7 linked regions of the Oryctolagus cuniculus genome follow. Each later gene encodes a partner of the first gene's protein in a complex. Links are inferred from orthologs where the notes say so. Each region holds a gene or a part of one and is shown in the gene's direction. Other genes may lie near its edges. The genes, in order: HDAC2, MTA3, MTA2, CIR1, DNTTIP1, SAP130 and MORF4L1.

Region 1 (4,380 bases):
AAAGGTTGAGCCAGAGAGGCACAAGGCATAACCACCATGGAAAGGCACATGAACATATTTGGGGAGAGCAGGTTAGGGGAATCTTCTCGAAGGAAATAAAGTATCATTTCAGACTTTCACTGTGTTGGTTCTAGGGGACAATATTAGCTTCTACTAAGTTAACTTGTTCTGATCTCAGAATTTTCCCAATTTTGGACTTGATAAACACTTGAATCAATACCACATAATCAACCGCACCCAAGCCAAGGTTTCTCCCACCAGGGTTCTTGCACCAACTGTGGTCTTATTAAAACTACAAACAGAAGGGTTGGGAAGGGTGTGGCAGGAGCCATCCTTGACACACCTTTTCTAAATCTCATGGGGATGTGGTCCAGGAAAATTGCTGCTCCGATCATAAATACCGTTGTCAATTTGGAAAAGTGAAAAAAAATAAAAATAATATTTTTGAATGTGACTTTAAACGGCTCCTGCTTCAATACAGGTCTCTCCACTCCCCTCTTTTCTTGACTGGGCATATGGGAGACAGCCTGCATGTGGGCAGCGTGGGAAGGTATTGTACATGACTTAGGAAACAAGTGCTACACTGCGGGCTGTCTTCACTGTTCCCAGCAACGTGGCTGGCTTAGGGTAGGTGCCTGATAAATGCTGATTTATTGAACGCAGGGTCACAGGCATTTGTAATTTCCAAATGTTTGAAAATCCTTTCTCCTAGCGTCCTATCCAGTGTCTAGTTTCGTGGAAAAGCCAGGGTATACGGAGTTTGGAAAAAGACGGAGACCAAACTCCCAACTATCAGCAGCTGCGAGGGCCAATTTAATCTGCTCCCAACTACAAGAAACAGAAATAGTACTTACACCCCGGTATCGGAGGGAAGCTTTACAAAAGTGCAGCATTTATTCTAAGTGGGTATCAATGAAACACTACTCTAAATGCAAACACTTTTAGAACCCTGCCCCACACAAATGAATTTTATAAATGTCCATTCAAACCCAAGCGGTACACTCTTCCTTGAAAGCTTACAATAGGTCAGTGTCCAGAGCACTTAAAAGCCAAAAAAAAACCGAAATATTAGTGAACAGATGAGAAAACCATGCGACCACGTCCTGGGGCCGCGGGCGAAAGCCCCGCAGCTCGAAGGCCCGGAAGGAGAACGTGAGTGGTCTTTCCCCGCCCGGCGCACGGCACGTGGTCGGCTTGGGCGGGAGCTTCGCGACAGTGGGGGAGGGGAACAGCGTGGGACGACACCGAGGGGGTCTAGACAGCCAAGGCTACGGTTGAGCAGGCGCCGACTGCGCAGGCTCGGGATAGGCGCAACCACTGCGCGAAGATCCGAGGGTGGGAACACACACAAGGGTCGTCGTTCTCTTGGTATTGCTGAGGAGGAGCCTGCCTTTTTCATAATTTTAAGGCTTTGAATGGCGCTGTTCCCCGCAAGCTGTTCATCACTATAAGGATTCTCACCCAAGCCTGAACCGGCCTCTTTCTCTGGTCATGCCCCTCCCTCCCCCGTGGAGGACTCAGTGGACGCGTCCCACCTCCCCTCGGCCTCCGGAGGTGGTTTGGCGGCCCCCTCCCCCTCCCCAGTGTCGCGAGTTGGCGCCGCTGCCACCCCCGCTCCGCGCTCTCGGCCCCCTCGGCCGGGCTGTACCGAGCCCTCCGGGGACCCTCCCCCTCCGACCTGCCCTTCCCCGCGGGGCGGCATCCCCCACCATCCCCCTAGCCTTTCTCTCCGCCGAGCCGCGGCGGCAGCTGCAGCCACAGCAGGAGGAGGAGCCGGAGCCCGGAGGCGGCGGTGGCCGGGGAACCCATGGCGTACAGTCAAGGAGGCGGCAAGAAGAAAGTCTGCTACTACTATGATGGTGAGAGGCCGGGTGGGCGGGTAGGGCTGGGTCGCCGGGCCGGGGGCCGCGCCGGGCTCTCTGGCCGCCGTCGCCAGTGGGTGCCGGCTCAGAGGGGTGGGAAGGAGGAGGGACCGACGCTTGGCCGCATCTTAACCCGTTGCGGACCCGACGCGGCCAGCGGGAGACCCTGCACCTCGACCCCCTCCTGCGGACCCTGCGGGCGGGAATGGGGGAACGCCCCGCTTGCTTTCTGCCTCTGTCTTCGGTCGTGCGGCCCGCAGCCCCCAAGGTGGCCGGCTGTGGGGACCACACTGGCCTAGCCCCGCCGGTGGTAGTGGCGAGGGGGTCGGCCCTCCCTGGCACTTCACCCGCCTCTCGTGGCATCGCGGTTTTGGGGGACCCCTTCGCCGGCATCCCGCACCCGATCCTTGCCCCCCTGAGTCAAAATTCCTACCCCGGCTCTGACTACACAAAGCCCAGCGGCCGCAAAGCTCCGCCCCTGCAGCCCCCTCCGGTGCCCCTGCCCCCGCTTGCGCCCCTCTGCTCGCGTCTGGCCCGGGCGCCTTCTCTCTCCGCTGGCAGCCGCACCCCGGACCCCTCGGCCCGGGGCGATGCCGGAGTGGGGGTTACTGGGAGTGGGAACCCGAGTCCGGCGTGCGGCGCCCTCACCCCCGTGTTCTGCGTGGGCTGCATCCCTCTCCTTTGTTCACCCGGCTCTTTGAGCGCCACTTTCTCCGGATTCAAATTGATGGGCTCCACTTCCTCCGTAACAATTAGGGATTTCGAGTTTGAGGCTGGCAGTTGGCGCGGCGAACGAGAGAGGAAAATGAAGAGCTGTGTTCCTGCTTGTGTTGTAGGTCAGACTCGATGGGTCCTGGCTTGCCCGTGTGGGAGGTGGTTACCACCCACTTCTTTGTTGTTGCTCTTTGTTCGATCAGGAAGTAGACCCTGCTTTGGAGGTGTAGGGGACCATGGGCATCTGGCTTGTGAAGGCTGTTCTCAGGTGGTGGGGATCCTGATGTAGAAAAACTGGAGGGAGTAGTGCAGGAGGACTAAGGAGTTTAATCAGGTAAGCTTGAGCTCACGGTATGGTGAATTATAAAAATCAGGTTATTTAATTTTAGGGATTCTGTAATACAGAGTAGCGTCAGTAACATTACAACTCTGGATTCTGCGTTCTGTGCCAGCCTAAGTTACACTAAATGGAACACTAGCTTAAGAGATTTTACAAAGATCTGAACTCTAATAGGTTACCCTTTGGGAGAAAGAGTACTGAAATTTAACAAAGCCAGGCTGAGTGATCTCACAGTCCTAATTGTGGGAAGCAATACGAATACAGATGTGAGAAGCCGTTTCTTATGGATTGTATACTGTAAATCACAACTTTAGAAAGGTAGCTAAGGTCAGTATAAACCTGGCTGTAACAGCAGAACCGTGCCCCTTCATTTAGCAAGGATCCCATTTTTTAAAATGCCAGTTTTATATGAAATAGCCATCTGAGTCATTTGTGGGAAATTATGTATTATGGGAAAAAATTTAAATTGACCCATAATACCTGGGACAAAATAGGAACAGCCTTGTTTTAAAATGTATCCTTTGAAGGACTGCAAATTGATTTGAAATTATACTGGGGCTGTAGAGATGGGAGTACATTTTAACATGAATTTTATTGCATATTTGGGTTGTTGGCAAAACCTTTCCCCCTACCTTCTCTAGTTAAATTGGAAATGTAACAACCTTATTTTTATTTTAAAATATTTATTTGGGAGTTAGAGGGAGCGATAGATAGAGATCTTCTATCCACTGGTTCACTCCCCAGTTGTCCACGATGGGCCAGGTGGAAGCCAGGAGCTTCTTCTGTGTCTCCCACATGGAAAGCAGGGGCCCAAAAGCTTGGGCCATCCTCTTTGCTTTGCCTACGCCATTAGCAGGAAGCTGGATCAGAAGTGGAGCAGCTGGGACACAAACCTGTGCCCATATGGGATGCCAGTGTTGCAGGCTGTAGCTTTACAGCCCGGGGGTTGTTTCCAGAGTTTAGAGATTTGTTTTTTGGCAGGACTTGGAACAAAGGGAAAAAATTTAACAAGTTGCAGAAAGTGGTGCTCAGTGTCTGTCAGTTGTCACTTGCTGTTGGCAGTGATGGGGTCCATGGAATAAAGTGCTCGCAACTTTTTGTCAGCAGGCTTAAACTGTAGGAGCAGGAGGTATGCTTGGGTAGCAGTTTTCTGAGAACTGTTTGTTCCTCAGCCCATTTATGATAAGCCTTTGTTGAGAGTGGGGGCAGACATTGGTCCCAGGGGCAGGATGCAATTGGGTAGAGTGGAAGATGTTTGACAGTCTTGATTTGTGTTAGTCAGTACTTGATTGATGGCCAACAGTACTGACAGTCAGGTAGGTCTTCTGTCTGTGGCTCTGATTGGACTCATTTTTAGAATGGACCCTTTAGTTGCTTACTTTTCAAATCGTCTTGGAGTTCCGTGGAAGGTGCTAATAAAATACCCTGAAGAGATTAAGTCATGTATAATTGTGCTGATATGTG
Region 2 (4,423 bases), on another chromosome or scaffold:
TATCACAAAGCTCCCAGAGGGTAGCTTACTTTGTTTTGACATGTAAGTTGAAACAAAAACCAACTCGATCTCATCCATAGTTTTGTTTTTCTTCTTCTTTTTTCTTCTCCTTCTAAGATTTATTTATTATAAAGTCAGAGTGGCAGAGAAAGAGGGGGAGACAAAGAGAGACACACAGAGAGATAGCTTTCATCCACTGGTTTATTCTCCAAATGGCCACAACAGCCAGGGTTGAGCCAGGCCCCAGACAGGAACCCAGAACTCCATTCACGTCTCCTATGTGGGTGCAAGGGTCCAAGTACTTGGGCCATTCTCTGCTGCCTTCCTAGGTACATTAGCAGGGAACTGGATCTGAAGCGAAGCAACTAGGACTCTGCCGATATTGGATGCTGGTGGTGTTGGCAGCTTAACCCGCTGTGCCACAATGCCAGGCCCTTATCTATAGCTTTTACACAGCATCCATTTCTTTTCAGCTAACTGGTGAGATTCTGGAGTCCAACACAGGGAATGTCCTGGGGTTTCAGATAATCCCTTCTATAAACAACTTCTTCTTCCTCTTCCTCCTCCTCTTCCACTTCCTCTTCCTCCTCCTCCTCTTCTTCTTTTTTTAAGATTTATTTATTTACTTGAGAGGCAGAGGCAGAGGGAGAGAGGTCTTCCATCTGCTGGTTCACTTTCACTCCCCAGATGGCTGCAATGGCCGGAGCTGAGCCAGGGACTTCTTCCCCATCTCCCATGTGGGTACAGGGACCCAAGGACTTAGCAGGCCATAGCAGAGAGCTGGATCGGAAGTGGAGCAGCCAGGACTTGAACTCGCACCCCTATGGGATGTTGGCACTGAAGTTGGCCGCTTTACCTGCTATACCACAGCACTAGTCCCCCTCCCCTCCCCCTCCCCTCCCCCCCTCCCCCTCCCCCCTCCCCCCTCTCCTTCCCCTCCCTACCTCCCCCCTCCCCTTTCCCCTCTCCCTCTTCTTCCCCTCTTCTCCTCCTCCCCTTCCTTCTTTTTAAAGACCCGGAGCTTCTTCTGGGTCTCCCACACTGGTGCAGGGGCCAAAATTCTACTGCTTTCCCAGACCATAGCAGAGAGCTGGATTGGAAGTAGAGCAGCTGGGTTTTGAACTGGCGCCCATATGGGATGCTGGCACTTCAGGCTAGGGCGTTAACCCGCTGCGCCCCAGCGCCGGCCCCCTGGCATTTTTTCTTTCAGATATTGAGAACCTAGAATGTAGAGGACACTGTGTAGGAGCTGGAGGAGTGGGAGACACTAAGAACAACAGAATCTGGAGGAAGGAAAGAGTTCCAGGTCCAGCCGCCATTTCCCCAGTCCCCCTGCCCCCCAACCTCACCCCACAGATCTCTGAGGCCTTTCATGGGGGGCTTCTGGATAAATTGTTCCTAAGGGGAGGAGGTGGGTGTGGATGTAGGGAGTTTTCTTGGCACCTTTCACCGGTTTGTTGTTGTTGTTACAGTCATCACAAACACCTGGCAAGGAGCACCGAGCTAGGGAAGTGAGACTGGCAGACAAGGAACCAGCAAAAACACAGACATGGGCATGAAGGCGGAAAAATCACTCATTTATTAAAAACATAACGTGAAGACACCCTAAAGCTTGTGGTCTGTGTCTTTGCAATTTATGGTTTCCAGGTGACTTTTTCCCTGGGAGAAAGGCTTTATGGTCCAGAGCTTCCTAGGTCGGCAGAAGCGGCTGAATTACAATCTCGATCACGCTGCCAGTTCACTGTATGACTCCAGGTGAATTATTCCACTTATTTGTGTCAGCTCAGAAACGGAGAGAGTGATGTCGGATATGTCACAATATATTTTTGGTGGTATCTCCAGTAAAAGGATTATGATAAACAACAGCCACGCCATGTGCATAGCAGAATACTTTTGCTTTCTTTGCTGGGTCACAAGAGCTGACAGGGCTCACAGTTGACACATGGCATAAAACCCCTGGGAATCTGAGGCTTTCTGGGGTTAAAAAGAAAGCGGAAGACACCTGCTATTTGCTTGGTGCTTTCTGCTCCGGTTTACAAAGCATTTTCAGATAGCATCACAACGGATCCTTACCACCTGTGAGGTGGAGTTAGTGTCCCCATTTCATAAAAGAGGAAACAGGTCACGGAGTCAACCAATGTAAGGCAGGCAAAGTTGTTCATTGTTGTATTATTCTCACTTTGCTTCAGCTGTCCAGATAATTATTTTTTCACTTCAACATCTTTTGATTAGGGGCCACGGCACAAGATAAGGCAAACACAGACTTTTCTGGGAACACCTCCTCTTCCAGCATAGGCCTCAAAGTCACAGTCAACAGCCACACAGCTGTACATCACCAGACACTCCCAACAACCCGCAACCATCAGGGATCATTGTTGTGTTTATTCTGCAACAAAGTCTGGGAGTAGTAGATTGGCTTGCCTAAAAAAAAGTATTTGTGTTCACTTGGGGGATGGCCAGCTAAGACTCAACTTTATCTTTTTGTTCCGAGGGTGCCAAGGATTTGAAAACAAGTTGTCCAGAGAATTAGCATGAGAAAATGACCATTTAAAAGGTTCAGGCACAGAACTAGTTAACTGTCCATCATCAACAACCTGACAGTCTGACAGTCTCTCCTCCTGGGAGGTGGTGTGGGGAACTGTAGGGCCCTTGGACGAAGGGCGCCGCTAAGTCTTTTTTTTTTTTTTTGCAATGGGGCCTAGTTACAGACAGGGTCTCAGGGTGTCCGGGAGTGGGTTCTGTTCAGCCTAGTTCTGGGGTGAATGATGACGTCCCCGCCATCGCAGTTAGGGCGCACTTGGACGGCAGCCAGTTTTTCCAGTCCTGGCCCAGCTGGGTCTCTGACTGGGAACGCCTGGGGTCTGTAACAACCTTCCCAGAGGAAGGTGCCCTGCTGCCTGCACTTATTTGTATCCAAGACTTTGCAGCGAAGCTTGCACTGGTGCTGCCTTGCTTAGGGTCGCACATGCTGGGGCTCCCCGGGGACAGAGCAGGGAAGGAGAACCTGTCTAGCGGTGGGCAGGTGACGGGTTACTCAGGGTGGGGCAGGAAGCGCTCCAGGGAGGCTCAGCCTCTGTTCCCACCCCAATCTCCAAGGGCCCCCAGCCCGCAGTTGCCAGTGCAGGCTTCTGCGTCGGCCAGGACTGGGGCCCTGGGGTCCTCCACTCGCAAGGCCCCTCAGCCTCCCTCCCTGTCCCCCGGTGCCCGCAACCCGCAGCGCTGGGGCCTCCCGGGGCCTCCCCCAGCGCGGCCCACTCGGTTTCGCTCGCCCTGCGCTGGGGGCGGACGCCAGCCCCCAGCCCTCGGCGTCCCCTCCCCTTCACTTCCCCCTCCCCCGTCCTCTCCCTTCCCCTCCCCCCCGTGGCGAGGCGGCGAGGAGGCGGCGGCGGCGGCGGCGGTCGAGGCTGAGGCGGCGGCGGCGGCGGCGGGCGGGGCTCGGCTTGGGCTCCGCGGGCGGGCGGGCGGACATGGCGGCCAACATGTACCGGGTCGGAGGTAGGAAGGCTCGGCCCGACCCGGCCCGTCTTGGGGGCGGGCTGCGGGAGTTGGGGGGTCGCGGCGAGCGCAAGCTAACCGCCGAGAGTCCTGGGCGCCCGGGCTGAGGGCGCAGGGAGGGGGGCACCGGGGCCCTCAGAGGGGCCGGGCTCCCCACCCCCACCCCTCCTCCTCCCCCCACGGTGGCCCGCAAGGGGCCGGGGACCAGCAGCACCCCCATACCCTGTCCAGGTTTTTAGGAACAGGCCTCTACTGGGGGCATGAATTACCAGGCGCCCCCCTCCATGGAACCCACATGGGGGCAGGGCCCGTCGAGCCCCCTGACTGGGTGGCCTTTTCCTCGCGTGGCTTCTGGGTATTGGGGGCCGGGGAGGATGGGGGGACATCTTCCTCCTCCTCTCCTTCCCCTGCCCTTCAGTCGGAGAGTGGGGTGGGGGTGGGGGCGAGGGGGCCCAGCCAGGGTCCCCGCTGGACAGGCCTGTTGGCGGGGCCGGTTCCTGCACCTCGCCTTCAAAGCCTCCCCTTGCGTTTCTTGTCCGGCCCCCCAAGATTGGGGTCTAGCAGGGGCCAGGAACCGCAGCCAGAGGTGGGGAGTTGAGCTCTGCCCGGACGTTTGCTCTCCTGTCTGCCTCCTTCCCAGCCTTCTGCGGAAGAGAGAAATAAGGTCAAACAAACTTTCTCCCTACTCACGACGCCCTCCTCCCTCTTTCCTGGTAAAATAATAATTCAGATAAGTGGCGTGTTTGTGTGTGAGACGAGCTCTTCTCTGCTCGTTAGCCGAGCTCCTGATGGATGGTGGTGGGAATGGCTTGGCTAAATGAGGCCACTTTGCAGAAGAGAGAGCCGCTAAGATAGACAATAACAACGCAGTCCAGCCTCTCAGACGGACACACAGTGGGAAGTTTCCAGTGAGCCTATTAGATGAGAG
Region 3 (4,451 bases), on another chromosome or scaffold:
TGAGAGCCGAGACAGGGAATGGGCCACCTACACTTGCGTGCTGGGCTTCCACGTGTACGGTGAGCAGGGGTGGGGGGCCCGAGCGGGACGAGGTGGAGCCCGCTGTGGGCTCGGCACGCCGGGCGGGTGTTCGGAGAACCTGCGGAGGACCCAGCCCACGGGCCCCCTACCCCTTCGCCCTCGGGACCAGGAAGGACTGCCTGGAAGGCGGCCGGTTGTTGGTGGCAGCGAGTGCCAGAGATGGGGCTACGCTGGGCCGCGGGTGGTGGCGGGCAGGGGGCCGGGCTGAGGCCGTCGCTGTGCTAGGCGTGTGGCCGGACGGCTCCGACGGGACCGACATCAACTCGCTGTGCCGCTCCCACGACGAGCGCGTGGTGGCTGTGGCCGATGACTTCTGCAAAGTGCACCTCTTCCAGTACCCGTGCGCGCGCGCCAAGGTGAGGCTGCCCGGGGCGCCGGGGGCGCGGGCCAGGGCGGGCCCGGACGGCGCTGCCGCTCACCCTCCCCTCCCCGCCAGGCGCCGAGCCGCGTGTACGGGGGCCACGGCAGCCACGTGACCAGCGTCCGGTTCACGCACGACGACTCGTACCTCGTCTCACTAGGCGGCAAGGACGCCAGCATCTTCCAGTGGCGCGTGCTGGGCGCTGGGGGCGCGGGGCCGGCGGCCGCCACGCCCTCCCGGACCCCGTCCCTGTCCCCCGCCTCCTCTCTGGACGTCTGATCGCTGCCGGACCGGACCGACTGGCCGGCCCCTTTTCCTCGACTTCGAGACATTCCCAAGTGCGCATCTCCCCGGGGGGCGATCGCCCCTGCACACACTGTAGGGACCCGCTGGCCGAGCCGGGCCGCCCCAGCCTGGGTCCTGACTCCTGCTGCCTGCTGAGGGGCAATAAACCAAAACCAGAGTCGCCTCCCTGTGCTTTTGTGGGGCGCAGCTGGGTGCCCTAGGGACCCCGAGGGGTGGGATGGAGGCGAAGAGGAGTGTGGAAAGCGCCCGTAGGCCGTTCATGCAAATGGTAGGCAAAGCTGTTTGCAGACCGCCCGGCGAAGCGCGAGGGCGCGCGCGCCTTGCGGGACGTCAGGCGGAGCCGCAGACTCCTGCGAGGGAAGGGTTAAGCCCGCCTCCTCCCCCGCCCTCGGGGAGGGGGCGGTCCCGAGCTGCAACGGAAATAACCGAGGGACGGGCCGCGGTTGGCCGAAGCCACTCGAGCTCATTCCGGAAGTAGCCGATCTGTGGGGTCTTGCTCTCCGACCTGAGCCGAGCGCCGGGCCTTGTTCTCCGATCAGCCGAAGGTGTTCCGGAAGAAGGCGAATCCCGAGGCGGGCAGGGCTAGCCTCCCCTGGGCCCGCGGAGCTCAACGTCTGGTGGGACCGGTCGAGGTCGGGGGTGGGGGTGGGGGGGCGGCTAGCCGGAGCCTGGCTCCGGTCCGGCAGGAGCCGAGTTCGTTCCGGAAGAAGCCGAGCGGACCGGCGCCGGCCTCGGCGTCCCGGGCTTGAGGCGGCAGCAGCGGCGGCGACAGCGCGGGCCGGGATGAACCGCGACGGCTGAGGCAGCGGAGGCGCCGGCTGCGCGGACCCCAGGAAGACTCTCCCAGAGCGCCGGCCCGGCTCTCGGGGCTTCGCCTCGAGCCGAGCCCTGCCCCCGCGAGCTTCCCGGACCCCTTTGTGCGGCCGGAGGCGGCGGCGGGAACGGCCATGGCGGCCAACATGTACCGGGTGGGGGGTGAGTACCGGGCGCAGGGGCGCGGGGCCCGGGGCAGGGGGGGCCGGGCACTCGGCGGCGCAGGGAGCCGCGTCTGGGGCGGCGTGGACCGGAGCTCGGACCGGAACCGGAACCGGGAGCCCGGGGAGCGAGGGTGCGGGGACCGCGACGCGGCCGGGCTCCGGGGGTCGGGAGAGGCTGCGGGCAGCCCCGACGGCACTCGGAGTGCGGCACCGCGGGCCCCTGGGGCGGGGAGTGGGCTTGAGAAACTGGTTCCGAAGGAGCTGACAGGATAGGGACGGGGCCCCGGGGGCGGGGGGCCCGCGGCGACGGCTGTGCTACCTGCGGGGAGCAGCCTGAGGTTTCTTCTCCCTGGGCGTTATTGTGCGCCTCGCTCCGCCAAGGCGGGGGCCGGGTGCTGGAGCGAACAATTGTTCACTTCGCCGGGGCTGGAGTGCAACTCCATCGCTGAGTTGGGGGAAACTGCTGCCTGTCTTTTCCTGAAGGCTCACTTTTGAGCGAAGGGTGTGATTTAGAATCCGATGCGGCAAGGTGGAGGCATCTTAGTCTGCCCCTGTCCACACTCGAGCCTCCCCTGCCTGGACCCTTACCCACTTTTGGTCGACGCGGGCGGTTTTCTCTCCTCCTACCCTGACTGGCTGTCCCATCTTCCCGTTCTTCCCCACCCCCTCCTACAGATTACGTCTATTTTGAGAACTCCTCCAGCAATCCTTACCTGGTTAGACGGATTGAGGAGCTCAACAAGGTGAGTGGAATAGACCCCCCTCCCCATCCCCCAAGTGGGCTCCTTTGAGGTCTCTAAGTTCGGGTGGAAGAGAGGCCACTAACCTGAGTGCTCATTCATATTCATTCATTCATTGGGTGCATACAGGACAGGCTATTGAGAGCTTAGTGGGAGTCTTCCTCATCTGTCTCTCGGGTGCAAAGGAAAGGGGTTTGGAAGTCTGTCCTTGAATTAAATCCTTATAATTTCTTGAGCTCTTTTACTTAGGTCCCTTAGAAATTTATTCCATGTTGTTAGGCTCTGTGCATTTCCACTTTCAGATAACCAATTTTCACTGCTACGTTTTTTTCCCCTCTCTTAGACTGCAAATGGAAATGTGGAGGCAAAGGTTGTCTGTCTTTTCCGGCGAAGGGACATTTCTAGTAGCCTCAACAGCCTGGCCGATAGTAATGCCAGTGAGTGTCTTCATCCCCTCCTCCTGCCATCTGGGCATGTCCCTGCAGGTGTTTCCCCTGGTAGCATGCCCAAAGCAGGGGTGTGAGTTTTGGGGGTGGGAAGTGCCTGGTTTGTGGAGGGAGGCCTGTTTTTACACGTTGGGGTTGGAAGCAGGGTGGAGAGACCATGATAAGGAAAGCCAGACTATGGTGTATGTGTGTGTGTGTGTGTGAGAGAGAGACAGAAATGATAGTGTTTACATAGGAGGTAAGGAAGAGAAGCAGGACACTTTGGGGGGGTAGAGTTTTGAGTACACTGAGACAATGAGGGGTGTCTGAGGGTCAAGGTGAGAAGGAAGAGATTGTACTGAGAAGCCTGTGCAGCAGGGAAGCAGGCTTACTTTATAATCACGAGGTGGTGCGAACGCGGTGAAGGGAGAGAATGGAAGTTAGGATATGGCAGGAAAGTGTTCTTGCACTTTTTCTTGTTTCTCACCTCTTCCATGTCCCCTCTACTCCATTTTACTTCTTTCCTTTTTCCTTTTGCCTTATCTTCCTTCCTTTTAAGCTCTCATTTTCTTTTGGAAAATGTATTGCCTTCATTTTTTCCTTGGCTTCTTTTTCCTTTCCTGCTTTGGTTTTCTTTCCTCTTCCTCTTGTCTAAGTTATTTTCCTTTTTAAAGGCTGCACTGGGCTTGAAGGGGTTAATGAGGAGAGCCGGGCGGGCTTACGAAGTTCCCTGGGCCTTTGGGGTTTCCAGCCTCCTCTGGCAGGGGCTGACCTTGGCCTTGTCCAATCAGAAAGGGTGTGGGGGGTGTGGTCCCCTTTGCCTTAGCACAGGGTTTCCGGAGCACACAGGCAAGGGGTGGAGCATATTGCACCCCTCCCCATCCCCCCCTCCCCGAGGTCGGGGAACAATGCACCAATGAGCCTGAGCCTGAGGCTCTCCTGCACCCTCCCACTTTGACTGGCGCCCGGCCAGGTTAACCCTTTTCACCAAGGTTTCAAGGCAGGCTGCAGCTCCTTGAGGGAGGTGTTGGCACTGGCTTGAGAGGTGTTGTCCTTGAAAGCCCCACAAACTATTATTAGCCAAGTAGAAAGTGAGGGATAGTTAGGGTTGCATGTGATGTTTGAGAGCAGAGTCTCCTGAAATCTGAAAAGAGGAACTGGTAAACACAACCTGTGTGACATTTTTTTTTTTTTTTCATCTTATTGGGTTCCTGGACCTTAGGCTGGTTTAGCAAAAAAGAGACAGTGTGATGGGCCTGGTGTGGGCAGTGTCTGCTTTCTGAGTGACGTCTGAGCATTGGCAGCTGGGTTTGGGATGCTTTCCTGCAGCATTCTTCGTACTCAGCAGCCCTTCCTTAAGGCATTAGTGATGAGAGTTGGGAGCATCTGTGAACAGGGCATAGAGAAATGCTGGTGGGATAAGAGAACAGAAGGTAGATGCAGGGAGAATGTGAGAAAAACAGCTGAGCCAGGAAATATTTTCCCTGGGTAAGAGTTCCCTAGGTAGTGACTTTCTGGATTTGTGTTTGACTTGGTTTCTTCCTCCTTAACCTTGCAGGGG
Region 4 (3,184 bases), on another chromosome or scaffold:
TTATTCAGCAATAGTATTACAAATCTTCCTTTTCAGTGATAGGAAAAGGAGTGTCAGGTTATATGTTCAGATTATACCACAAAACTGTTGCACTTTTTAGAACATGGTATTTGGAAATAGACTTATTTGTACATTAGTATATTTTTTGCACACAGTTTTCAGAAAATGAGTATTTGCTCCTCATATTATACATGACCCCGTATGTTTGGGCCATGTAGTTTCTAACTTTTTTCAGTTTCATGAGAAATACTGGAAGATTGCTTAAATCGAGGTCAGTACAGATGTTGTTAAACAGATGGCCTCTGGAGTGAAGAATCTAAGACATGTCCGCTGCAGCCCATAGAGGGAGCTCATGATGTCTTCAGTGTGCAGTTCTGAGCGTGCTTGGAGAGAGCCAGTGAAGACGCTGTGATTTCACAGTGCCAGAGACTGCGATGTGCTCTCTAGGCATTCAGAATGCCTTAATATGGTTGTCCTAATTATTTTTAGAATTAAATAATTGTTGAAAATTAGTATGTGAGTAATTTATATAACAAAGTATCAAAATTTTAAAATACGTTCTTATTCAGAATTTCTGGAGCATGTACTCTTAAATTTTGGTAATCAATGTTGATTAGTTTCCACACTTTAGTCATATATAAAGTTAATTTTTCATCTGATTATAGCTGTATATTTTCAGATTGCAATAAGTGCAACTAGTGTTATACAGATCTTTCATAGGTTTTCTTTAGACTAACATGGCCATTTATTTACAGTGCTATCGTTTCAAATTCTAGCTTACTAACAATGTGATTTTTAAATTTTATTTCTTTATTTTAATTTTTTCGTTGAAAGGCAGAGAGAGATGACAGAGATAGATCTTCCATCCATTGGTTCACTCCGTAAATGCCCACAAATACAAGGGCTAGGCCAGGCTGATGCCAAAAGCCTAGAACTTTATTCAGGCTTCCCACATGTATGGCAAGGAGCCAAGTTCTTAGACCCTTACCCGCTGCCTCCCACTGTACACATTAAGCAGAAAGCTACAATCAGAAGCAGAGCCAGGACTGATACTGAGGCACTCACCAAATACCTACCCCACAATGGCTTTTTAAAATAGTCATTACTATGACTATCATCAGTATTCTGATGAAGTATACTCAGAGACTTGGCTTAATGCATTTAATTTTTTAGTTTAAACTTCATGTATACAAGTCTGGAATAAAACGAAAATGATTTGTCATTTAATAAAGTAAATAGCATGTTTAGATATGGGTACCATTTTTAGTAGCTCCTGAGAAACTAAAAATTGTCTATGGACAATTCTGTCGTCGTTGCTGAAAGGACAGTTTTTCACAGTCTGCACCTCTTTCTTCTCTATTACAGGAAATTGGATCGGCTTGAGAAGAAAAAAAAGAAAAAGACAAAAGATAGAAACAAGAAAAAGCTTCACAAGAGAACTAAACACAAAAAACATAAAAACAAATCCTCTTCTTCCTCCTCCTCCTCGTCTTCTTCTTCCTCCTCCTCCTCCTCCTCCTCCTCCTCTTCCTCCACTGAGACTTCAGAAAGCAGCAGTGAGAGTGAGAGTGACAGCAAAGGGAAGAAAAGAGAAAAGAAGAAAAGAAAGAAAAACAGGTGTTCCGGGAATAGCAATGATTCTGAAGAGAAGGACAAGTCTAAGAAGAGGAAACTTTATGAAGAACTTTCTAGCAATCACAGCAAGGAAAAAGCCAAGGAAAAGCTTGGGTTTTTAAAACAGGAGCATTCTGGGGAGAGTAGCAAACGGGGCCATTCTGATTATGACAGAAAGGCCAGAAGCCATAACCATGGCCCAGAAAAGAGAAGATCTGAAAGACACGAGGGGAGCAGCAGAGGCCACAGCAGGGATGAGAGGAGGAGGAGCCGAAGCCGAAGTCCTGATGGTTACAAGCAGAAGGAGACAGGAAGGCAGTCACAGTGGAGTCCCAGGGAAGAGCGGAGTGGAAGAAATGATGCCAGAAGCCACGGCACACATAAACACAGAGAAAACACAGAGAGAGAGCACTCAGGAGATAAACGGACAAAAGTGACACAGCGGCGAAGCAGGAGTAGAGAATAAAGAGAATGTGTGTGGCAATCACCTGGAAACAAAACCGTCTCCATTTTCTCACTGAGTACCTTTTGCAAGGGCTAACTTGTGTGCTATGTGTTTCTAATGAAAAAAAAAAAACTTTTAATTTTCCATTTCTGTAACTTGTCATTTCAAGTATAAAACTGTATGTGCACTGTAAGAATGAATTTTGCAAATATTTATAAGTAATCTGAGGGCTGTAGAAACAATTTCTATTGGTAACTGTTTTTTGAGCCCTGTCCCAGATAAAAACCCCATATAACTCTGTGACATTTCTTTGTTCTGAAATATCATTAAAAGAATGACAGTACATTGAATGGGTATAATTTAATTTTCTTTTTTAAATTCAAATTTGTGATTTTACAACTGACTTTTACTTGAAGCCAAGTACAATCATTGTTGGAATTCACTAGTGTGAACTAAACAGTGGCTTGATCAATATTTAAGACTTTGAAACTCCCCTCAGGTGTTTTGTTCTACAGAGTAAGCTACAGGGTATACATTTGGATGATGTGTTTGTGTGCTGCCATACACATTACCTCAGAGGCTCAACAGGACAAATGCATCATCTGAACGGTTTCGGAGATCAGAAGTCTGACGTATCCTTGGGCTACTGCAGTGTCAGCTGGCCTGTGTTCCTCCTGGAGGCTCCAGAGGAACATCTGCTTGTTTATTAATTCCAGCTCCTGGATGCCGTCTGCATGCCTTGGCGCCTGGCCGCCTTCCACCGTTTCCAGAGCTAACAAAGCAAAGTCAAGTCCTTCTCACAACTAATCACCCTGGCACTTCGACATTATGCAGCCCTCTTCCAGTTATAAGGACCCCCTGATTACACCAGGCCTATCTGAAGAATCCAGGGTGATCTCCCTATTTTTAAGATCAACTTACTTGCAACCTGAATTCCCCCTGTCCGTGCAGTGCAACATTCACAGGTTCCAGGGTTAGGGCTCTGTACATCTCTGAGGGACAAGCATCCTGCCTATCACTGGTGGCCTTTGTACCACAGGTACCCAACTCTCCAGAGGGTTAAGCATTCATGTAATGTCACAACACACCGCAAACCAGATATACTTCATGAGTATCAGTATATAA
Region 5 (3,918 bases), on another chromosome or scaffold:
TGTGCTACAGCACTAGCCCTAGACTGTCTTATTCTTTTCCCCAGCATCTAGCATGAGGCCTGGGATATTGTTAAGTACTCTTTTTCTTGAGTAAGCTGCTTGTTGGGAATGGTGTATCCAGGAGAAAAGACAGGAGGCAGTGCTTTGTCCCATCACCAGATGAAACCCCCCCTCACCGGCCTCTGTTTTTTGCAGTGGGACCCGGCTCGGCTGAATGAATCTACCACTTTTGTGTTGGGGTCTCGAGCCAACAAGTGAGTCTAAGCTTTGGCACTGATGGAGTGGCAGCTCGGGGGTCTACTACTAGAGTTGCGCCTGCTGGAATCTTTACCACTTGTCTTTCCCTTTTCAGGGCTCTAGGGATGGGGGGCACCAGAGGAAGAATCTACATCAAGCACCCACATCTCTTTAAGGTGAGTGAGTGCCGGGAAGCAGGTGGGCCGCTGCCCTGGAGTAGGTGGCAGTGGGAATTCTGCGTGCCATGGAGAAGCTCGGGACACTCGCTGGTCTGGGAGTCGGGAGTCCCTTCTGCCATTCCCCTGTACCTTTTGTAATTTACTCAACAGCTCTGTGCCCTGGTAGCAATGGCTACTTGGCCTACATGTTTATTGTATGGCAAACATGGTTTTAAGTACAACACATTATCTCCTGGAACTATCCCTTATCTTTATTTTACAAATTTGAAAAAAGCAGAGGTCAAGAAAGACTAAGTGATTTGCCCAGAGTTACTCAGCAAGTCAGGATTCAAATCCAGGTCTGTCTACACTGAAGCCTGAGCTCTTAACCCCTACCTTACTCAGTTGTCTGTGGCGCAAGGCAGGGCTCTACCCTTCTTCCAAGGAGGGACTCCTCTCTGGAGCAGCTGTTTGAGGAAATAACAGGAGAAATCACAAATTCACTCATTGTCTTAAATGAATGTGTATTTTATCAGCCACAAAAGTATTTAAAAGAACAGAAAAATAGAAACGCATGTGTGTTCCAGACATTTTTTGTTCCTGTCCCTAAAGTTTGGTACCCCTTGCCAGAAGCTCCCAGCCCCGTTAGGGTCCCAGAATTACTGTACCTGCCACACTCTGTGCAAATTGGCAGACTTGCTTGCTCTTCTCCAGTCTTGGATCCTAGGAGTCCCAGCATCTAGAGAGGCTGGCAAGCTTGCTGCCGCTCTCTCCTCTCGGTGTCTTCACTCCTGCTGTTCTGTTTTCCTCCCCAACCCTTGTCTGCCCAACTACTCTTTAAGACCCTGAGTAGGTACTCAGGGGCAGGCGTTGTGGCGCAGGGGCTAAGCTGCTGCTTAGCCCACCAGCAACACCATAACAGAGTGTCTGGTTTGACTCCCAGGTACTCCATGCTTCCAGTTGACCTTCCTGCTAATAGGCCTGGGAGGCGGTGACTGATGGCCAGAGTACTTGGGTTCCTGCCACCCACATGGGAGACCTGGATGGAGTTCCTGGCTCCTGGCTTTGGCCCAGCCTCACATTCGCTATTGCAGCCTTTTGGGGATTAAACCAATAGATGGATGATCTGTGTCTTCCTCCTCTCTTTGTTACTCTACCTTTCAAATAAATACAAATCTTTAGGGGCCGGCATGGTGGGTAAAAGCTACCACCTGTATCGCCAGTGTCCCATACAGGTGCCAGTTCGAGTCCTGACTGCTGCACTTCTGATCCAGCTCCCTGCTAATATGCCTGGGAAAGCAGTAGAAGATGGCCCAAGTGCTTGGGTCCCTGCACCCATGTGGGAGACCCAGAAAGAAGCTCCTGGCTCCTGGCTTCAGACCAGCCCAGCTTTGGTCATTGTAGCCTTTTGGGGAGTGAACCAGAGGATGGAAGGTTCTCTCTCTCTCTCTACCTTTCAAATACATAAATAAATCTTTTTAAGCTAAATAAGTAAAAATAGTTTTAAAAAAACCCACATACCCCAAGAGATTTTTTTTTGTTATCATCTATAGATAGGATCTTGGATGGTCTGAATTCCTGTTCAGTTCTGAATTGTTCTGTCGTGTGTAAACCGGGAGTGGCAGACCAACCTTTTAGTGTCAATTAAGAGAGAATGCAGGGAAGCACTGGCTTAAGGCCTGCCACGTGGCACGGGCTCGGTAGAGGTTGATTGTTGTTAGCATAGTTTTCCAGTTCTAAGGCCCACCATTCATACTAAACTCCCAACCCACACTCTCATTCCTGATGGATAATTATTTCTGACCTTGCCCTTGCTTGTCAGGCACACACCCTCCCCACCCCCACCCCAGTCACCACTCCCTTTCTCTTTACAGTTCTCTATTATAAGCATTCTTAACCATTTAGAATCTATTTGTATTTCTTCTGGAAACTGCCAATTACATCTTGTGCCCAATTTTTCTGTCCTTCAGAAGACATTATTTGAATTTATCTTTTCCTTTTTTAGACTTTTTAAGTTATAGAAATATGACCCCATTCTTAGTGTAAAAACCTTCAGCGAGTACACTGGAGTTCCTTCACCCTTGACCCTGACTGCCCTCCACTCCAGACCACCCGCAGCCATGGCAGAGCATAAACACAGATATGGGCGTGTGTGTGTGTCCTTGTCCTGTGGGATATTTTGCTTATTATTTTTAGCTCATACATGTTGTGGTCTGGTTTTCCTTTGGGAAGCAGTAATAATCGTAATCATAGGTGTTGCAAGCCACCTCAGATGATTTATTAAAAGGGGAGGCCAGCATTGCAGTGGAGTAGGTTGCCCCCACCTGCAGTGCCAGCATCTTGTGGGTGCCAGTTTGGATCCTGGCTGCTCCACGTCCAGTCTAGCTCCTGGCTTCTGCCTGGCCCAGCCCTGGCCATTGCAACCATTTGGGGAGTGAACCAGTGAATGGAAAGTCTCTCTGTCTTCCTCTCTCTCTCTTTCTGTAACTCTGCCTTTCAAATAGATGAAATAAAACTTTAAAAAGGAGGCTGTAGTGGCTGGTGATGTGGCATAGTGGAGTAAGCCTCTGCCCACAACACAAGCGTCCCATGGGTGCTGGTTTCAGTCCCGGCTGCTCCACTTGCGATCCAGCTCCATGCCAATGCACCGGGGAAAGCAGCAGAAGGTGGCCCAGGTGCTTGGGGCCCTGCACCCATGTTGGAGACCCAGAAAAAGCTCCTGGCTTTGGCCTGGCCCAAACCTGGAAGTTGTGGCCATTTAGGGAGTGAACCAACAGATGGAAGATCTTTCTGTCTGTGTCTCCCTCTCTCTCTGTAAATCTGACTTTGAAGTAAATAAATAAATCTTAAAAAGAGGAGGCTCTAAAGTAATGGTCACCTGTCCCACTGGTTGCCAGGGAGATGTTTCGAGAAAAGAAGCAGTAGGGGGATTAGAAGTGTACTAAGTCTCAGGGAATTGGATCCCATGCCTTGGCCTCCTGGGCTTGGCTTGGCTTGCTCTGAAGGGGTTACTGGGCCTTCTGCGTCCACCAGGCTGGGTCTTACTGATCAGAACTGCAAGGCTAATGGCTCCCCTTTCACGCTGTTCTCCACAGTATGCAGCTGACCCCCAGGACAAGCACTGGCTGGCTGAGCAACATCACATGCGGGCAACAGGAGGGAAGATGGTAAGCACTGTTCCCACGCGCCACTGCCAGAGGCCACCTTCAGGGACCAAGATTCCCTCTGTCGGCGACAGCTCCTCTCCGAATCTGGAGACCCCCAAAGCCTGATACGTGTGGGAAGGAAGACTTTAAGGCCTGTTTCTCCATGGTCCCCAGGTTCCTTTCCCTGCCACTAGGGCTCCCTTTTTCTCCCTCCACGCTTCCACCCAGCCTTCGTATTTGGACCACACATTGGATCACATTAGCTTGCATAGGAATGACGGGTGAAAGACTCCACACCACTGTTCCCTCGTGTGCCACTGAGTGATCTTACTCATCAGTCACAACACCCTTCCCCCAAACACAGCTACAGGATCTTC
Region 6 (3,918 bases), on another chromosome or scaffold:
AACAATTGATACTCTTATTTATGACGTTAGTGATCACTCGAGGCTCTTGACATTAGCTGCCAAGGCTACAGAAGCCTTTAAGTCCACAAACTCTGTCATTATTTAGACAGGGCCATATGCAAAGTGAAAGTTCTCTCCTCCCTTCAGAGAAAGGTACCTCCTTCTTTGATGGTCCCTTCTTTCCACTGGGCTCTCACTCACAGAGATCTTTCATGTAGGCCATTTTTTGCCACAGTGTCTTGGCTTTCCTTGCCTGAAATGCTGTCATGGGCACTTTAGCCATATCCAAATGCCTTAAGGGCTGATTCTGAGGCCAGAGTGTTGTTTAGGGCATTTGTCATTCTATCAAAGGTGGTATTTTTAAGACCAACTTTTAACTTTTTTCAGTTCTTCCTGAGTGATAATGGGTTTGAACCCCCAAAACATCATAGTAAGTGATTTTTTAAACCATTTTCTTCAGCCAGTGAGCCAGGTAGAGCCAGTGTGAAGCGAAGGAAGGAGCATGTACTTGTGCAACCTGAGCAGGCAGCACTATTCCCCACCTCAGTGTTCTGGAAAGTTCCCCAGATGATTTTTAAATATCATTTTTATTATTGTGTGTAGGAATATTTACAGGTTTTAATATATTAGTATTATGCTGATCCCCCTTTGCCAAATACTCCTGTTACTCTGAAGTTTTATAGATTCTCTTGGATTTCTAATATAGATGTTTATATCATTAAGGACAGTTGGGGGCATGGCAAGAAGGTGTTTTCATCTTTTATACCTGTTATTTTGCTGGATAGAGTTTCCAATTAAATGTTATTGAATTAAAGATAGTGACTGGAAATTCGTCTGAAATTCCTTTGTAGATTTGAGTAGATAACATTTTCGAAGTTTTTATTCCTATTTTGTAAGCATTTACATCATGAATAAATATTGAAATGCCATCAATTATTTTGTGCATATATTTTGCAACATTTCAAGTGATTGTTCCCCTGATTTTTTAAATATCATCTAAAACATGAATGGAAATTATAATGTTGAATCATTCTTGTCTTGACAAACCTTATTTGGTCATGATGTATTTAATTTTATATGATCTTATTTTTTTGTTAAAATATTTATTTTATTTATTTGAAAGACAGTTACATAGAAAGGTAGAGCCAGAGAGAGAGAGAGAGAGAAAGATATGTCTCCTATCCGCTAGTTCACTCCTCAAATGGCCGCAATAGCCAGCGCTGAGCTGATCTGAAGCCAGGAGCCAGGAGCTTCTTCCAGGTCTCCCATGTGGGTACAGGGGCCCAAGGACATGGGCCATCTTCTGCTTTCCCAGGCCATAGCAGAGAGCTGGATCAGAAGTGGAGCAGCTGGGACTTTACCTGGTGTCCATATGGGATGCTGACACTGCAGGCCGGGGCTTTAACCTACTGCGCCACAGCGCTGACCACTATATAATCCTTAATGTAATTCTGTGTAGTTATTTTTGTGTCAGTGTACAGTGAAAATTGAGATTTGTTTATTATCTTCTCATACTGTGTCCTGTTTTAGTGCTAAGGCCACATCTCAAAAAATAAGTTAGATTTTGTTTCTTCTTTTTTTGGTCTCTGAATCAATTTGTAGGAGGTTGGGATTATCTGTTTTATATATATTTGACAAAATTTGGCATTAAAAACAATTTGTAGAATTGAACACGGAAGATTTTCATTACTGAATTTGTGTGAGTCAGTTTTGTTAAATGTAAATGTTCTTTTCAAAAAGCATCCATAAAATATCTGTTTTTAGATTTATTGACATGTGGTTGTTTGCTGTATTCACTTTTTTTTTATTTTTTTTTATTTTTTATTTTTACAGTCTGTCCTTTGATCTAAGAGTTTTGAAGACACGGTTTGAGAGAATCTCAGGGCAGTTACGAATGGTGTGAGGAGGGACATTTAAAGGCAAAGAACCAGTAACCACTTTGTTTCACACTGTTTCTATTCCATCCCTAGACCTTCTGTTCCTGTCCAGTTCCAGTACTTTTTGCCAACTTACCCTCCTTCTGCATATCCACTGGCAGCACACACCTATACCCCAATTACCAGTTCGGTGTCCACTATCCGACAGTATCCAGGTATAAACAAGTCCCACTTTTAAAATGACTTTGCATTTTAATTTTTTGCTAGCAATGAGATACAAATTGATTAGGCCTTATTTCTAGTATGGGAATTAATTATTCTAGGTTCAGATTTCCAGATTCAGATAAGGCTAACATATCTGAAGGTTGTATAAGGGCTTAAATCACCATGTTGATGATCTTTGAAAAGATCATATGAAAAGGTAGTGTTGGTAATAGTTGCATAGTTTTATCCCACCCTGCGGATTATCATGTAAATAATATTTGTTAGTTCTTAAACTTGTATACAGGTAGAATGGATAGAGCTATACTCTTAGGAATCTTCTGTTGTTTTGTGAGATACTGTTATGTGTTTTCAATTTTAGTGCAATTATGTTTAGCTATCACCATTCTGACTTAGAAGTAGTGTTTTGCTAATCCAGGAAAAGCAGTCTGGAAGTCTCAGAGTTTGCATATTCTTTTCCTGTAGGATCCTTGGCTAACTTTGGGCATTTGAAAGTCATTCAGATTGTGCCACTAGTACCTTTAATCACACTTTGCATCATTTTTAGTTTCAGCTCAGGCTCCAAACTCTGCCATCACAGCTCAGACTGGTGTTGGAGTAGCATCTACAGTCCACCTAAACCCCATGCAGTTGATGACAGTGGATGCGTCACATGCTCGACATATCCAGGGGATCCAGCCAGCACCCATCAGCACGCAGGGCATCCAGCCAGCACCCATTGGGACGCCAGGGATCCAGCCTGCACCAATTGGCACCCAGGGCATTCACTCAGCCACCCCACTTAGCACACAGGGTCTTCAGCCTGCTCCGATGGGTGCTCAGCAGCCACAACCTGAAGGAAAGACCTCAGGTAATTTTAACTTTTTTGTATGAAAAGTGGCATAGGGTAGGGAAATAAACCTGGGTTTTAATCTGGCTCTGCCGCTTGCTGACTTTGGGGTCTTGAGAAGTTTCTGTAGGCCTTAATTTCCTCTTTGTAACATGAGTCACTTAGAACTTAGCGTCAGGGACATTGTAAACATTCAGACTAACATATATAAACAGATATAAATGTTTGCTCAATAATGAGAAGCATTCCATAAAAATCTCTTAGTTTATGGGGCAGATTCACCTTACAAGTAGTGTTCTCATTCATCTTAGATCTTCAGAGTTATATGTAAAGTGTGAAATCTTATCCTCATGTTAGCTAATGATGTCAGTGCATTTAAAAAGAGATACAAGGGTGGATATTGTGGCAGAGCAGGTTAAGGCATCACTTGGCAATGCCTGTATCCCATATCAGAGTGCTGGTTCAAATCCCAGCTCCTCTGCTTCCAGTCTAGCTTCCTGCTAATGTGCCTGGGAAGACAACAAATGATGACCCAAGTACTTGAGCCCCTGCCAACTTGGAGACCCAGATGGAATTCCAGGCTTCTGGGTTTGGCCTGACTCAGCTCCGGCAGTTGCAGCCATTTGAAGGATGAACCACTTGATGGAAGGTCTCTCTGTCATTCTGCCTTTCAAATAAGTAAATAAATCTGAAAAAAACAATACTAGTGGAATAGGCATTTTGGAAAATGGAATAAATCACTGTGAATGGAATATTGATTAGCTGTTTTTCTGATGTAGTTAAAAGACTTTATCAGATGGAATATTAATCTTAGTTATCATTGTGGCAGTGGGCATTTGGCCTAGCAGTCAAGATACTGGTTAAGACAACCCCATTCCTCATCAGAGTGCCTGGGTTCCGTTCCTGGCTTCACTCCCGACTCCAGTTTCCTGGTAATGCAGACCCTGGGAGGCTGCAGTGGTAGCTCAGGTGCTTGGGTTCCTGCCATAC
Region 7 (3,918 bases), on another chromosome or scaffold:
CAGTGTTTCATACAATGATCAAGAAGATAGAAGCAGGAATGTTCAGTAGTCCTCACTGTAGGGATTCATTGAAACAAACAGTCCACCTATCTTATATTGCAGAGGTAAGATAAGCTGTCAGTATTTATAGAGTAAAAGATTGAGTGCTTTTAACAAATGTTTGTTATAAAAGTGAATCTAGAGCTTTGCAGGTATAATCCTGTACGTAGGCTAGCCATATTTCTTATGTTTAAAGTCAATTATAAGTTAATTTGGGTTGAAAAATGAGTTCCAAGACTAAATGAATATAATTCATAACATACATTGTTTATTATTTTTTTAAAAGATTCATTTATTTGAAAGAGAGGCAGAGAGAGAGGAAGGGAGGTCTTCCATCTGCTGGTTTACTCCCCAATTGGCTGCAATGGCCAGAGCCGCGCCGATCTGAAGCCAGGAGCCAGGAGCTTCTTCTGGGTCTCCCACGTGGGTGCAGAAACCCAAGGACTTGGGCCATCTTGCAGTGCTTTTCCAGGCCACAGCAGAGAGCTGGATCGGAAGTGTAGCAGCGGGATCTCAGCCGGCACCCATGTGGGATGCTGGCACTTCAGACCAGGGTGTTAACCTGCTGCACCACAGCGCTGGCCCCGTTTACAGAGATGGGGAACCATTTTTTTCTGCCAAGGGCCATTTGGATGTTTAAAACATCATTTCTGGGCCATATAGCATTATCAGCTTAAAAAGTAGCCTGCTATAGACTTACTGAATTCTGTGTTTTACCTGCAATTGCCTCAGCAAGGTCAGACCAAATGATTCTGTGGGCCTCAGTCTGGCTTGGATGTTCCCCACCCCTGGTGTTTTAAAACTATAGTAAAGTAAAATTCAGGTGTTCTGGAATGAGCCTACAAAAGTAATCCATAATCAAAGCTTTGTCAGCTGTTTTCTTGGGTTCTCGAAACAGCTATAGCTAATTGGGTAATATGATAGACTACAAAAAGGCATGAGTTTTTACTAAAGATAATAACATAGGAAGGAGACATCAGCTTTGTTCTAGATATGGTAGAAGAGGGTATAATATTTAAATGGAAGGATTATAGAGAAGAGAAAGTTAAGTTTGAACCAATGAGAGTAGAGTAACATTGCTGTTTAAGACAGGCAAGTCTATAAACAAAATTAATGTTTTGGGAAGGGGAACAAAAACAGTAGGGAAAGTAAAACTGAAGCTTCTTGGTAGAATTAGTAATGTAAACTTTAATGTAATACTCTTATAAACTGCATACTTTTAAAATATACAACTTTGGTAGAAATTATCATCCATGTATTGGGTTATTCTGTTAATAAAAATCCTTGTTTCTGAACAGCCCCCCCCCCCCCTTTTTTTTTAATTTTTACTGCCTCATCTTACCCAAGGTAGTCTACCTTTGAATTTAACTGTGATAAAAGAGATCTGAACAAAGGCTGTTTTTACTGAATTTTTTTTCTCCTTTTCTTCTTTTAGGAAAACCAAAAAGAACAAACAGAAAAGTAAGAATGTTAACTCTCTTAATATTGATTTATACCATTATAACATCTTTTAATTTGCTGTGTATGTTTCTTGATGGTCGCAAATGAGTGTCACAGCAGTGTTGAGATAGATACACAGTGGGAGAGACCTAAGTCTGATGATCCTTATGCTGATGAGAAACTGTTAAAGATTTAAATATATGACTCCCCAGAAAAGATAACTTTTTTAAATAGATAGAACATAGTGATATTGTGTTGCTTATATAATGTTTGGTGGAGCTGATCCTAAAAGTTAAGCTTTCACTGAAAATAATTTTTTAACTTAGATTCAAGTAACAGGATCTGTCATAGGCTGTTTTTCTTAAAAAGTTATTAAACAAAATCCCCCTACCTCTGCCCAACACCCGTGTGTTAATAGCACCTGGAAATGGAGATGGCGGCAGTACTAGTGAGACCCCTCAGCCTCCTCGGAAGAAAAGGGCCCGTGTAGATCCTACTGTTGAAAATGTGAGTTTTTCTTGTGTAACTATTAGAATTTTCAGTCAGACACAACCTTCCTCCTTTCTGCCCTTGGGTAGAGGTTATATATATATATAAATCCTAATTTCACCTATAGCTCTCGACTTCCACACTTCATCACTTCATCATCAGGGGTTTACTGTACAAGTTCTGTGTTTTTTTTTTTTTTTTTAATTTTTTTAAAATTGTTTTTTTGACAGGCAGAGTGGACAGGGAGAGAGACAGAAAGGTCTTTCTTTTTCCGTTGGTTCACTCCCCCAGTGGCCGCTGCGGCCGGCACACTGCGCTGATCTGAAGCCAGGAGCCAGGTGCTTCTCCTGGTCTTCCGTGGGGTGCAGGGCCCAAGCATTTGGGCCATCCTCCACTGCACTCCCGGGCCACAGCAGAGAGCTGGACAGGAAGAGGAGCGACCCGGGGTGCCGGCGCCGCAGGCGGAGGATTAGCCTATTGAGCTGTGGCACCGGCCACAAGTTCGTGTTTACACACAAGATCAAGTATTTCTTCAGTGTTGGAGGACAGGATAGTTTTTTTAGGTCATATTAAGTGACCTATTCGAGACATATCCAAGATGCTTTAATGAACCCAAAAGAGATGCCATGAAACCCTCTAAGTTCTGTGCTTTAAAGATTTTGTTTATTTGAAAGGCAGAGATACAGAGGGAGGGAGAGACAGAGAGGTCTTCCATCCTCTGGTTCACTCCCCAAATGGCTGCAACAGCCGGAGCTGGGCCAATCCAAAGCCAGGAGTTTCTTCTGGGTCTCCCATGCAGGTGTAGGGTGCTTGAGCCATCTTCTGCTTTTCTAGGCCACAGCAGAGAGCTGGATCAGAAGTGGAGCGGCCTGGACTCAAACTGGCGCCCATATGGGATGCTGGCTCTGTAGGAGGCAGCTTTACCTGCTATGCCACAGTGCCAGCCCTTCCCCCAAGATTTTTGTCTTTACTTTTATACTATTTTTTTTTATTTTTTATTTACTTTTTTTTTTTTTTTTTTTTTTTACTTTTGTACTGTTGTACTATTTTTAAATGGACAGTTCTGCCTGTATATTTGGCATCTGCAAGCATTTGATCTATTCCTAGTGTCCTTAAAGGTCAAAATTTCCCTGTGGTCTAGAGTTACTCTTCAGCAAGAAAAGATGGGTTTCTGATAGTGTTGTTGTTTCTGTTTAGGAAGAAACATTCATGAACAGAGTGGAAGTTAAAGTAAAGATTCCTGAAGAGCTCAAACCATGGCTTGTTGATGACTGGGACTTAATTACAAGACAAAAACAGGTAACTTGAAAACGTCACAGATGGTGATCTGTGTGCTCATGCTCTTTCTTGCCACTCACTTCTGTTACTTCAAAAAGGAAAAAAAATAAACTTGAAGTTCTACAATATGATGAATAATATTTAGTTCAGAGACTGAAGAGTTATCAAAATATATTGGCTTTATGAGTTAATGGTTTAGAAAAAGGTGAAGATAATTCATTTCGGGGGTTGCTAGGTCAGAAATGATTCTGAGAGTTGATAAGTGCAGAACAGGTTGTATACACTGAGAATGGAATATCCTCACCGATGTATGGGTGGTAGAATGCAGACAGAAAGCACTCAGTACCACCTACAAAGTGGATTTCATGATCTCCAAAAGAACCTGAGTCTAATCAATCTTCTATGTGTAATTATTGGTTTTCAGGAATGGGAATGTTTAGTAGAGGAGGAGCATGTTGAACATAAAGAATTCGTTCATGAACATGAGGAATTCTGTAGGACAAATGAAGCAATTTAAAAGAAACATAGAGATTTGGGGTTAGGAATGGAGAGTAGAGGTTGCTTGGGGATGGTGACTTGAGAGACTCGCTCATCCACACCATGTGGACTTAAAGTTTGAGTCCTGATTTGAACTCTTTAAGGATGGGTCTTGGTTACAGCTAAGCTGCCAAG

Evidence for each region.
Region 2: HDAC2 (region 1) and MTA3 share a complex: the UniProt entries of both Homo sapiens proteins name them as parts of the nucleosome remodeling and deacetylase (NuRD) repressor complex. The link is inferred for Oryctolagus cuniculus from reciprocal best matches to the Homo sapiens genes HDAC2 and MTA3.
Region 3: HDAC2 (region 1) and MTA2 share a complex: the UniProt entries of both Homo sapiens proteins name them as parts of the nucleosome remodeling and deacetylase (NuRD) repressor complex. The link is inferred for Oryctolagus cuniculus from reciprocal best matches to the Homo sapiens genes HDAC2 and MTA2.
Region 4: HDAC2 (region 1) and CIR1 share a complex: the UniProt entries of both Homo sapiens proteins name them as parts of the histone deacetylase complex. The link is inferred for Oryctolagus cuniculus from reciprocal best matches to the Homo sapiens genes HDAC2 and CIRSR.
Region 5: HDAC2 (region 1) and DNTTIP1 share a complex: the UniProt entries of both Homo sapiens proteins name them as parts of the histone deacetylase complex. The link is inferred for Oryctolagus cuniculus from reciprocal best matches to the Homo sapiens genes HDAC2 and DNTTIP1.
Region 6: HDAC2 (region 1) and SAP130 share a complex: the UniProt entries of both Homo sapiens proteins name them as parts of the mSin3A corepressor complex. The link is inferred for Oryctolagus cuniculus from reciprocal best matches to the Homo sapiens genes HDAC2 and SAP130.
Region 7: the proteins of HDAC2 (region 1) and MORF4L1 are in contact, whole or in part, in a cryo-EM structure (PDB 8C60), measured with the Homo sapiens proteins. The link is inferred for Oryctolagus cuniculus from reciprocal best matches to the Homo sapiens genes HDAC2 and MORF4L1. Residues at the interface, in NP_001518.3 of Homo sapiens: Gln93, Arg94, Asn96, Ser146, Glu147; in NP_996670.1 of Homo sapiens: Pro355, Glu356, Arg359, Lys360.

What each region holds. Positions count from the first base shown.
Region 1 is NC_091436.1:57,413,497-57,417,876, forward strand, and holds the start of HDAC2 (histone deacetylase 2), read left to right. Parts: upstream 1-1,402; 5' UTR 1,403-1,807; coding exon 1,808-1,859; intron 1,860-2,767; exon of another isoform or gene 2,768-2,910; intron 2,911-4,380. UniProt on the Homo sapiens protein: Histone deacetylase that catalyzes the deacetylation of lysine residues on the N-terminal part of the core histones (H2A, H2B, H3 and H4).
Region 2 is NC_091433.1:160,050,188-160,054,610, reverse strand, and holds the start of MTA3 (metastasis-associated protein MTA3), read left to right. Parts: upstream 1-1,568; 5' UTR 1,569-3,467; coding exon 3,468-3,495; intron 3,496-3,998; exon of another isoform or gene 3,999-4,159; intron 4,160-4,189; exon of another isoform or gene 4,190-4,208; intron 4,209-4,423. UniProt on the Homo sapiens protein: Acts as a component of the histone deacetylase NuRD complex which participates in the remodeling of chromatin.
Region 3 is NC_091432.1:8,953,119-8,957,569, forward strand, and holds the start of MTA2 (metastasis-associated protein MTA2), read left to right. Parts: upstream 1-1,281; 5' UTR 1,282-1,695; coding exon 1,696-1,723; intron 1,724-2,400; coding exon 2,401-2,468; intron 2,469-2,808; coding exon 2,809-2,902; intron 2,903-4,448; coding exon 4,449-4,451. Other genes in the region: EML3 (echinoderm microtubule-associated protein-like 3), read left to right, coding at 1-59, 417-437, 518-948. UniProt on the Homo sapiens protein: May function as a transcriptional coregulator. Acts as a component of the histone deacetylase NuRD complex which participates in the remodeling of chromatin.
Region 4 is NC_091434.1:66,821,401-66,824,584, forward strand, and holds the end of CIR1 (corepressor interacting with RBPJ 1), read left to right. Parts: intron 1-1,365; coding exon 1,366-2,080; 3' UTR 2,081-2,409; downstream 2,410-3,184. UniProt on the Homo sapiens protein: May modulate splice site selection during alternative splicing of pre-mRNAs. Regulates transcription and acts as corepressor for RBPJ. Recruits RBPJ to the Sin3-histone deacetylase complex (HDAC). Required for RBPJ-mediated repression of transcription.
Region 5 is NC_091442.1:13,583,630-13,587,547, reverse strand, and holds part of DNTTIP1 (deoxynucleotidyltransferase terminal-interacting protein 1), read left to right. Parts: intron 1-195; coding exon 196-254; intron 255-352; coding exon 353-413; intron 414-3,490; coding exon 3,491-3,562; intron 3,563-3,918. UniProt on the Homo sapiens protein: Increases DNTT terminal deoxynucleotidyltransferase activity (in vitro). Also acts as a transcriptional regulator, binding to the consensus sequence 5'-GNTGCATG-3' following an AT-tract.
Region 6 is NC_091434.1:118,436,407-118,440,324, reverse strand, and holds part of SAP130 (histone deacetylase complex subunit SAP130), read left to right. Parts: intron 1-1,970; coding exon 1,971-2,092; intron 2,093-2,646; coding exon 2,647-2,949; intron 2,950-3,918. UniProt on the Homo sapiens protein: Acts as a transcriptional repressor. May function in the assembly and/or enzymatic activity of the mSin3A corepressor complex or in mediating interactions between the complex and other regulatory complexes.
Region 7 is NC_091443.1:105,825,103-105,829,020, reverse strand, and holds part of MORF4L1 (mortality factor 4-like protein 1), read left to right. Parts: intron 1-1,474; coding exon 1,475-1,500; intron 1,501-1,897; coding exon 1,898-1,986; intron 1,987-3,165; coding exon 3,166-3,267; intron 3,268-3,918. UniProt on the Homo sapiens protein: Component of the NuA4 histone acetyltransferase (HAT) complex which is involved in transcriptional activation of select genes principally by acetylation of nucleosomal histones H4 and H2A.